2 linked regions of the Cricetulus griseus genome follow. The protein of the gene in region 2 interacts with the protein of the main gene of each other region in a pairwise test. Links are inferred from orthologs where the notes say so. Each region holds a gene or a part of one and is shown on either strand. Other genes may lie near its edges. The genes, in order: Fabp2 and Agr2.

The links.
Region 1: the proteins of Agr2 (region 2) and Fabp2 interact in binary tests that used the Homo sapiens proteins (3 or more experiments, as listed by UniProt). The two-hybrid records come from large-scale screens. The link is inferred for Cricetulus griseus from reciprocal best matches to the Homo sapiens genes AGR2 and FABP2.

What each region holds. Positions count from the first base shown.
Region 1 is NW_023276806.1:35,615,326-35,619,627, forward strand, and holds the start of Fabp2 (fatty acid-binding protein, intestinal), read right to left. Parts: upstream 2,838-4,302; coding exon 2,771-2,837; intron 1,496-2,770; coding exon 1,323-1,495; intron 1-1,322. UniProt on the Homo sapiens protein: FABPs are thought to play a role in the intracellular transport of long-chain fatty acids and their acyl-CoA esters. FABP2 is probably involved in triglyceride-rich lipoprotein synthesis.
Region 2 is NC_048598.1:165,725,654-165,729,992, forward strand, and holds the start of Agr2 (anterior gradient protein 2 homolog), read right to left. Parts: upstream 2,988-4,339; coding exon 2,849-2,987; intron 2,601-2,848; coding exon 2,537-2,600; intron 2,425-2,536; coding exon 2,372-2,424; intron 1,172-2,371; coding exon 1,098-1,171; intron 27-1,097; coding exon 1-26. UniProt on the Homo sapiens protein: Required for MUC2 post-transcriptional synthesis and secretion. May play a role in the production of mucus by intestinal cells. Proto-oncogene that may play a role in cell migration, cell differentiation and cell growth. Promotes cell adhesion.

The sequences.
Region 1 (4,302 bases), on a different chromosome or scaffold from region 2:
CATGGGGCTTCATGGCCACCAGCCTGCCTCCGGATTGAGTGAGATACCCTGTCTCAAGGGAATAAGATATGCAGCACCACAAGGCACTTGATGGCCTCCTCTGGCCATGTGGGCATGTGCAACCACTACACACACACATACATACATACATACATACATACATACATACATACACACACACACACACACACACACACACACACACACACACACACGTACTACAAATATACTTGACTAGAAAATCTCTGAGACTAAAAATACTTCTTAAAAATTAATTGAAAAGAGTGAGTCCCTAAATTTTTTTTATGTCCATTGAAAGGGACATTCTTAATGACCTATAAAGTATTAGACTTTTACATTTGGCTACTCACCCACTCATTAATTGTTTAATTTTTTTAGATTAAATATCATGTAGCTCACTCTAACCTCAAACTTACTCTACATGTTTGGAGAGGCTTGACTTTACGATCCTCCTGACTCAATTCCCACATCTTGGGATTACAGGCTTGTGTGACCATGCCCAGTTTTTATACAGTGCTGGAACCACAATCCACGGTTTTGTCCTTGCTACAGTCTCCTGAATCTGCTACATACCTGGCTTCTCAGTTTATTGTCCAAGTACATATATAAACACTTATTGTGTTTCAATATTATGAACATTAAAAGCTTGTAGTCTCCCAGCAGGAAGAGTTGAAAATACAGAACTTTACATTTCCTTGTGTGGTGGTTTGAATGAAAAAGGCCCCCATAGACAGTGGTACTATTAGGGAGTGTGACTTTGTTGGAGTGGTGTGGCCTTGTTGGAGGAAGTGTGTCATTGTTGGGGTGGGCTTTGAGGTCTCCAGGCTAAAACTATGCCCAGTGACACAGTTCATGTCGTGTCGCCTGCAGATCAAGACACATTAACTCTCAGCTCCTTCTCCAGCACCATGTCTGTCTGCATGCCACCATGCCTCTCCATGATGGGAATGGGCTAACCCTCTGAACTGTAAACAACACAATTAAATGTTTTACTTTATAAAAATTGCTGTGATCATACTTTCTCTTCATAGCAATAGAAACCATAACTAAGACACCTTGTGACTATTCCGATACTCAGTCCATCTAATCTTATTGTTCAGTATAACTTTTTCACAGATGTCTGTCACAATAAAATACTGTATTTAAACATTTAACCAACGTGTGTAACATAAAATATGAACACACTTTGTTTGCCTCTTCTTAGGAATGAATTTGAATTAGTTGAACCGTTCCATGAGATCAACCACTTTGTATTGGTAAAAAAAATCAAGAATGTATTGTTTATTTTAAAAATGTCTTACATTGAGTTCCGTTCCATCTGCTAGACTATAGGTAAAGTTGACACCAAGTTCAAACACAATGTCAATGTTGCGAAAGGTGCTTGATTCTTTGACTGTGAATTTATTTCCGTCCTGTGTGATGGTCAGTTTCAAATTGTCGTGAGCTGCAAGCTTCCTTTTCACCACATTAACACCTGCACAACGAGAGAGATTGGAAGGAACAAGAAATGAAAATGCCTCGGAAAGTGTTTCCCTTTCTAAACTCTGTCCTGGTTTGCTCATGTTTATTTTGTGGGTGGAGAAGAAAGAGCAAATAGGGTTGTGTGTGCACAGCAACACTGAGATGCTTCTAGAGAAAGGGGAAGCTCTGGTAGACCCAGAGAACTGCTTCAAGCAGCTTTTCCAAACTAAGAAAAATGGAAATGAAGCAACAAACTGTAGCACCTTAACCCTGGGTCGTTTTAACAAGATTAACAACCTTTTTGCTTCAGAGTTAAGTCAAATTCCAGCAATGTCAAATGGAGTATTAAAAGGTATATTCATATATTAAAGAAACACAAGTTCAGTTCTGGATATTTATTAACTTTCAACACTACTTTGCTTTCAAAATTGCATTTATTAATTTATTTTGTTGTTGTCATTTGATACTGGGTCTTGATATATAACCCAGGCAGGCTCCAAACTTGCCAGATAGCCTAGCACCCTAGCCTTTAATTCACAATTCTCCCATTTCACTCTCAAAGTGTTAAGATCACAGGCATATAGCACCATGCTTTGCTTGCTTCATAGTTATATTCATTTTTGTGGCATTCCTGATTAGTTGCAAGCAAGAAAAAATAGGGGTTTTATGATGAAATACATTATAATATCAATGTACAGATATCACAAATTTAAATTCAGAATCCCTAAATTATAAACCATAATTCATGCAGGTTTTATTTTGGGAATGACACATAATTTTTGCCCAGTTTTGTAGTGGGTTGCCAGAATATTAGTGGACATTTATAATGTAATCAAATTATACATCCATAAAGAATACACAGCTTTCTGTGGTTATTCCTGAAGTTACATAAGTCAGAGAAGAGAATTACATAGAATTTATTCAAGCTGAGTTTTGATAAAATTCTTTTCTTACCTTGTTGAAAGATCCTTCTTTTTACCCCCAATAATCCGGTGTTATTTTAAATTCTGGAAATTATCATAACACACACACACACACACACACACACACACACACACACACACACACACACACACACGTGTGAATTTTCAGCTAACAGGCAAGGGAAGAAAACACAAGGTCTCTAACACTTGCCCTGGGAAGACAAGATGTTCTTCCTAAAGCAGGAAGAGTGGATATGGATTTCCTGGCTCTATAGTCACACCTGGAGCCTTACACATCACCAGTCATTCCCTAAGGCACAGGCAGGAGAAAGCAAACAATGAGCCGCCCAGGTAGACACTCTTACCCATTTTCTCCATGAACTTATCATAGTTGTCACTCCGGTCTACTTTCCAATTGCCGTCAAATGCCATGGTCTCAGTTGTGTGTGCCTCTGGAAAAGCAGAGATTCAGTCTTGTCTACAAGAGAGAATTTATTCTACTTCTTATCTTCGAACCAACTCATACTGTGATGTGGAAGTTTAAAGTTCAAGAGATTACTTAACTACCTTACATGCCACGCCCCTTTAGCTTCTCTTTCCATGCTTTCCTTGACTCTACTTCTGTTATTCCTTTTGAAAAGTGGATTGCTCAGTTCTCCATCATGAACTTTATAAATGGCATCATGTATTCTTGTTGTAATGTCAAATTATAGACCTAGGTGCTAAAGCCTACAAAGCATCTTCTCAGGCAACAAACTTAACAGAGATTCATGAATTTTGAAGCCTGTGGATGGTGGTGGCTGTTGAGGGAGAGTCAGTCGCTGTCCTTTGAGGACATGGCTAGTAGGATATCAATGCTCTAATAGGTAGACCCACATTCACGGGTATATGGGCAACAGTTATTGTAACAACCAAGGAGGACATGAAGTTGAAAAGGTGATGGGATGGGCGCCATTTAAGGGAGTTGGAGGGGGATGGTGGAATGTTATGATTAAATTGGATAAAAGTATGAAATTGTCAAAGAATAAATTTAAATGTTTTTAAAGAAGCCACAGGTTGGAGAGGTTGCTCAGTAGGTTATGAGCACACAATGTAGCTGGGTGGTGAAGGCACACACACCCCTTTAGTCTCAGCACTCAGGAGGCAGAGAGATGGATCCATATAGTTAGGGCATCCTGGTCTACAGTGAGTTCCCAGACAGCCAGTGCTGTATAATGAGACTGTGTCTTAAACAAACAGAGAAACAAACAATACCAAAAATGAATAAACAAAAAAAAACCACACTACTCTTACAGAGGACACATTTTGATTCCTAGTATCCACATAGGTTGACTCTCAACTGTGTGTAACACCAGTTCTGGGGCATCTGATGCCTTCTTCTGGATTCTGTGAGCCCTTTGCTCATGCATACCCAAACCCTCACACAGACACATATACACACATAATTAAAAACACAACAAATATTTTAAACTAAAGATCCAATCTTTATTACAAAGGTAAAGTCAATCTCTGGCCAATGGACTAGAAATATGATATATTTAAAAAAGAAGCATGTGTTTTAGAAATGAACCAGGCTTTAGTATTGCAATCAAAACACCCACTACCATGAATGGCCTCAGATTATCCAACATACCTGAGACTCAGTTTCCTCACACATGAAGACAGTAGTGCCTCAAGTATAGGGCATTTTTTAAAGCACTGTGTAAAAGCTCCAACCGGAACAACTTGTAGACACCAGGTACTTAGTAAACCTATGTTTCTGTCCTCATTGTCTGAGAAAGGAAGTTTACACCAGTACCAGTGTAGTAGGAGCACCTCAGGCCTTGATCCACTTTATTATTTTGTGAAGAAAATCCATATCTTTGGTGATTAGAAAGTTATCTTCTTATTTAGTGCC
Region 2 (4,339 bases):
GAAAGATGCTTATCTGTTGTTTCATACTGTGATCAAAAAACAAAACAAAAGAAAAACAGCTGTATGTTATTCTTTAGGTATTTTCAAACTTACCAATGCAAAAAAGTGTCTGTTAAATCTTTCTGGAACTAGAAAGGGCACTCACCATGAGTGGTGAAACAATTAAGAGAGGGTTGGGGGACTGGAAAAGGGTTATAGAGTATATAAACAGAAGTAGGGCTCTAGGGATTAGCAAAGAGACTAGTCGGGGTAGAGGCGCAAAAACAAAGTGCATATGAAAGTGCCATAGTGGAACCCATTACATTTAAAACTAATTTAAAAAGCTAATCAGAAAAGAGACTGTGTCTCTCAGTGTACCATGGGCCTAAGGTACTGCCAGGGAACCTCTCTGCAAAAGTTCACAACACAGATGAGAAGACACGTGTCACAGAGCAGAAAGAGCAGCCTGTGATACAGGGCAGGAGGCAAGAAGCGAAGGGATGTGATACTCAAAAAGAACCAAACAACTCAAGGAGGAAGACTTGGAGGAGCTGTGATTGGACCGTTTGTTAGAGAGTGGAAGCCTGGCTAAGGCGGGAGGGTTGGTGATGGAGAAGTGAGACAGGATTCCTCCTGAAGCGAAAGTCCAGGACGCATGGGAAGATCTGGACAACCAGAGCTCTCGCCCATGGAGAGAAAGAAGTTACAGGGATTTGTGAGCCAGGACTCGAAGGAGATGGGCAAAGGCAGTGATTTGCAAAAATACCGAAAACCGGTTACTATAGCAGCACAGAGATCCTGACCATTAAAGAATATTTTTCAGATAAGATTATTAATTACAATAAAACATGTGTGCCACATAAATTACTAAGAAAGAGGTGGAGGACATGACTCAGTGGCAGAATGTTCCTTGGCATGTGCCAGGTGCTGGCCCCAATGCCAGTAATGCAAAATTTCAAAATAAGATTATTAATAAAGTAAAAGATTGTGGGTTTCTCAGCTGTACGATGGGATACTGGGATGAGATTCTAGTTAATGCAGCATGACTGAGATGCACAGAAAGGGCGAATCAGACGTTGAAGCCAGAGGAGACATGGGTGATGATGAGGGGAACTTACAACCAGGTTGAGGAGAACAAACTGCTCTGCCAATTTCTGGATTTCCTTATTTTCAGCAAACACTTTCTTTAAAGCTGTAATATAAGAAAAAAAGCAATTGTGCTTTATCTCAGTTTTGATTAGGACTTTTGCTTTCTCTTTTCTTTTAAGTTGAAAAGTGTTTTAAATACAATGCCTACGTTGCCCCTCCAGCAAATGATTTGTGATGTTACTGAGTAACTATGTTTTGGCAGACATGATTTTATACACTAGGGAAAATACCTTGAACAGAAAAGCACACTTCCAGAGGTCAGATGCTTGTGTGGGAACCACAGCATAAACCAATGCATACTACATATGTAATTTCATATAGTTATACATACACAGGGGACAAATAAAGTGAGGTGAAGGCTTAAAGAGCTACTAATTTGTCTTGGCACATCTCTTTTAGGAGGTGACTCTGAGGTCAGAGAGTGTCCAGACCATTGGGGACAGGTTGCTATAAAGCCTTGGTTAATAGGGATGAGCTGTATGAAGGCAGGCTGGATAAAGTGGGAATATGTGATCTTGACAGGAAAGGGAAACCAAGCTCCGGCTGGATGGATTCCAGGAATCAGGCTTTAAATTTTCTTGTGATGAGAAGCCACCCGGGGCACACGAGTGAAGGATCTGAGTTGTATTGAACAGCTTCAGTCTGGCTTCTGTGTAGAGGGCTGACTGCTGTAGTCAGTGGTGATAGGTTTGGTATGGTGGACAAGGTGCCATGTTGGCTTGGATTAAGGTGGTAGCATTGAGGTAATAGAAGGCATTTGGATTTGGGCAAGAAGAGCTACCTAATATACAAAGACCAGCGGGAAATGAAAATACAGAGCCCCTCATGCTAGAATTATTAAGTGAAGACAGCATTGAGTATATTGCACCAAACATGGGGAGCCTGAACAAGTGGGCAGGTTGCATGTGTGGGAAGCTAGTGCTGACTGGAGATATCTTTTAACAGTAAATCCAATGGTATTTGTTGATATATCGCATGAAAAAGATGGAAGAAGTTAATCGATGAACCCCAGCATTTCTTAACCGCCGAGCCATCTCTCCAGCACCCCCATCCACAGCATTTCATACTCAAAATATGCAACAATAGTTAATTCAAAACATGGAAACATCCAAATGTCTTTTTAAATGTTTTAAGATATTCTTTCTTGTTTAAACAGTGCTAGGTCCTAGGTACGTAAAGATGAGTGATCCAAACCCTGACCCGACACAAAAGCTTCTAAAAGAAATTTAGGAGAACAGAGTACCTTGACTGTGTGGGCATTCGTCCAAGTGATGAATGATCATCAAGGGTCTGTTGCTGCGAGAGAGAAGACATTATGGGATGTTTATTAGGATGCCATGAACACCTGATAGTCACCACTAGATGGCGCTCATGAGAGACTCCAGGAGCTTCATGTAACCGGCCTTACCTGGTCTTGGATTTGTATAAGGCTTCTTCATATGTCTGAGTCCAGATGAGCTGATCGCCCCAACCTAGAACAAAAGGAGTTGGTATCTTTAAATCCACCACAGTTTCAGGCTCAAGCCTGTTGAAAAGTGATGGTAAAAACCCAGATAATATGTACTTAGTACTAAAGAACAAAAGCCTCCGGAGCGGGAAGACCTGATTATTAACTATGCTAAATCTAGAAAAAAAAAATCCACAAATATCTTCAGCAGACACATTTAATACCTTTATGAATTAAGTTGCAGCTGGGAGCCAGCAAAAAGTTGACACCTACCTCTGGAGAGGGTCTGGGGCAGTTTGGGCCGGGAGTCCTTTGGGTCCTTTTTGGCTCCAGGTTTGACTGTGGTATCTTTGGCCAGGGTATAGGAGAGGGCCACAAGAAGCAGGAATGCTGACACTGAAATTTTCTCCATGGCAATCTACACGGGAAATAAACAGGAAGGAATTAGACTCTACAGAGTGTATCACAACAGTGGAAAGCAGCGGGAACCGGGTTACGCTGAGATAAGATGGGACAGGAGTGGACAGGAGGAGGAGTTTCCCAGGAATGCTTATTGAGGTGTCCAGCCATTGTCTATCTGCCTTCACTGTCTTCACTTTCTCTATCAGTGAATACATAATATTTGTTGTATCTTATCTTACAGTAGAATAACACATATTTTTTAAGGAAATATATAACTAGGTAGACGCATATATTTGGCTGCTAGGGAAATGCACATTTAAAAGTTATACTAAAAAGCATAGTAATGGTAGGTAATTTGGGGTACCTCTTTCCCCCCTTTCTCACTGTGTAGATGAAGACTCTAAAGTTCAGAGAGATGAAAAGATTTTGGGGATGAGTTCAGAGCAAAAGTGTTAACTCCCGTCTCTTTTCCTGAACATTCACCCTTACAATGGAAGCGACAGCTTGCCTTAAAGAATGGATGTCAATAACATGACCACATCTTACTTCATTTACAGAATGCTGGCTTCTTCTCTGGAGACTCGTTCCTTTTCTCTATTGAGGATCTGCTCAAACAGTGTTAGCTGTGAACTGATCAAGGCACATAAAATGAACATTCTTTGCCCTTGTCTGGGCCTGTGTGGCAGGGGAAGGCATACACTCCAGTACACAGATGTAGTCTGTGATGAACATGACATGGAGAATAAAACCCAGGATGTTTCTGTGTTAAGTTCCCTTTCTCCTCCTTTGCTATTGGACAGTTAATTACTAGGAAAAGCTGCAGCAGATGACCATGAGTAGGGCTCTAAATGACAAGACAGAATGCATGAGTGCAGGAAGGAAGGCCAAGCAGGTTGTGTTTCATGTCACTCAAAGTACGTATGGTCTGTACCTTGGGCTACTGAAGACTTCGAATCTGGTAATGCCAAATTCTAATGGTGCCCAGAAAGCAATGCAGAACTAGAGGGTCCATCTGTAGTATTGGTATCGTTCTTCATTAAGTCAAATAGACTCTACCAAGGAAGCAGGTAGAGTGTCATGGTGTAAGTGCTTAGGAGAGAGAAGAGCCTCATAGACTGTGAGCCCAAATGAGAACCTTTGCTAGACGTTAGAGTAGTAAAAAGAAGTCAGTCACCAACCCAAGTGATGCCTTAAATTAACTGACCAACAGTTATCCAAGTCACAATGTACGGCCACACAGAGGCTCAGAAAAGATACAGGCTAAAGCAGTAACACAGTGTCATACGTTTCTACATTCGTATGGATGCAGGAATGCTAATAATGATTTTCATCTTCTGAAAGTCTGCAATTACAACTTAAGCT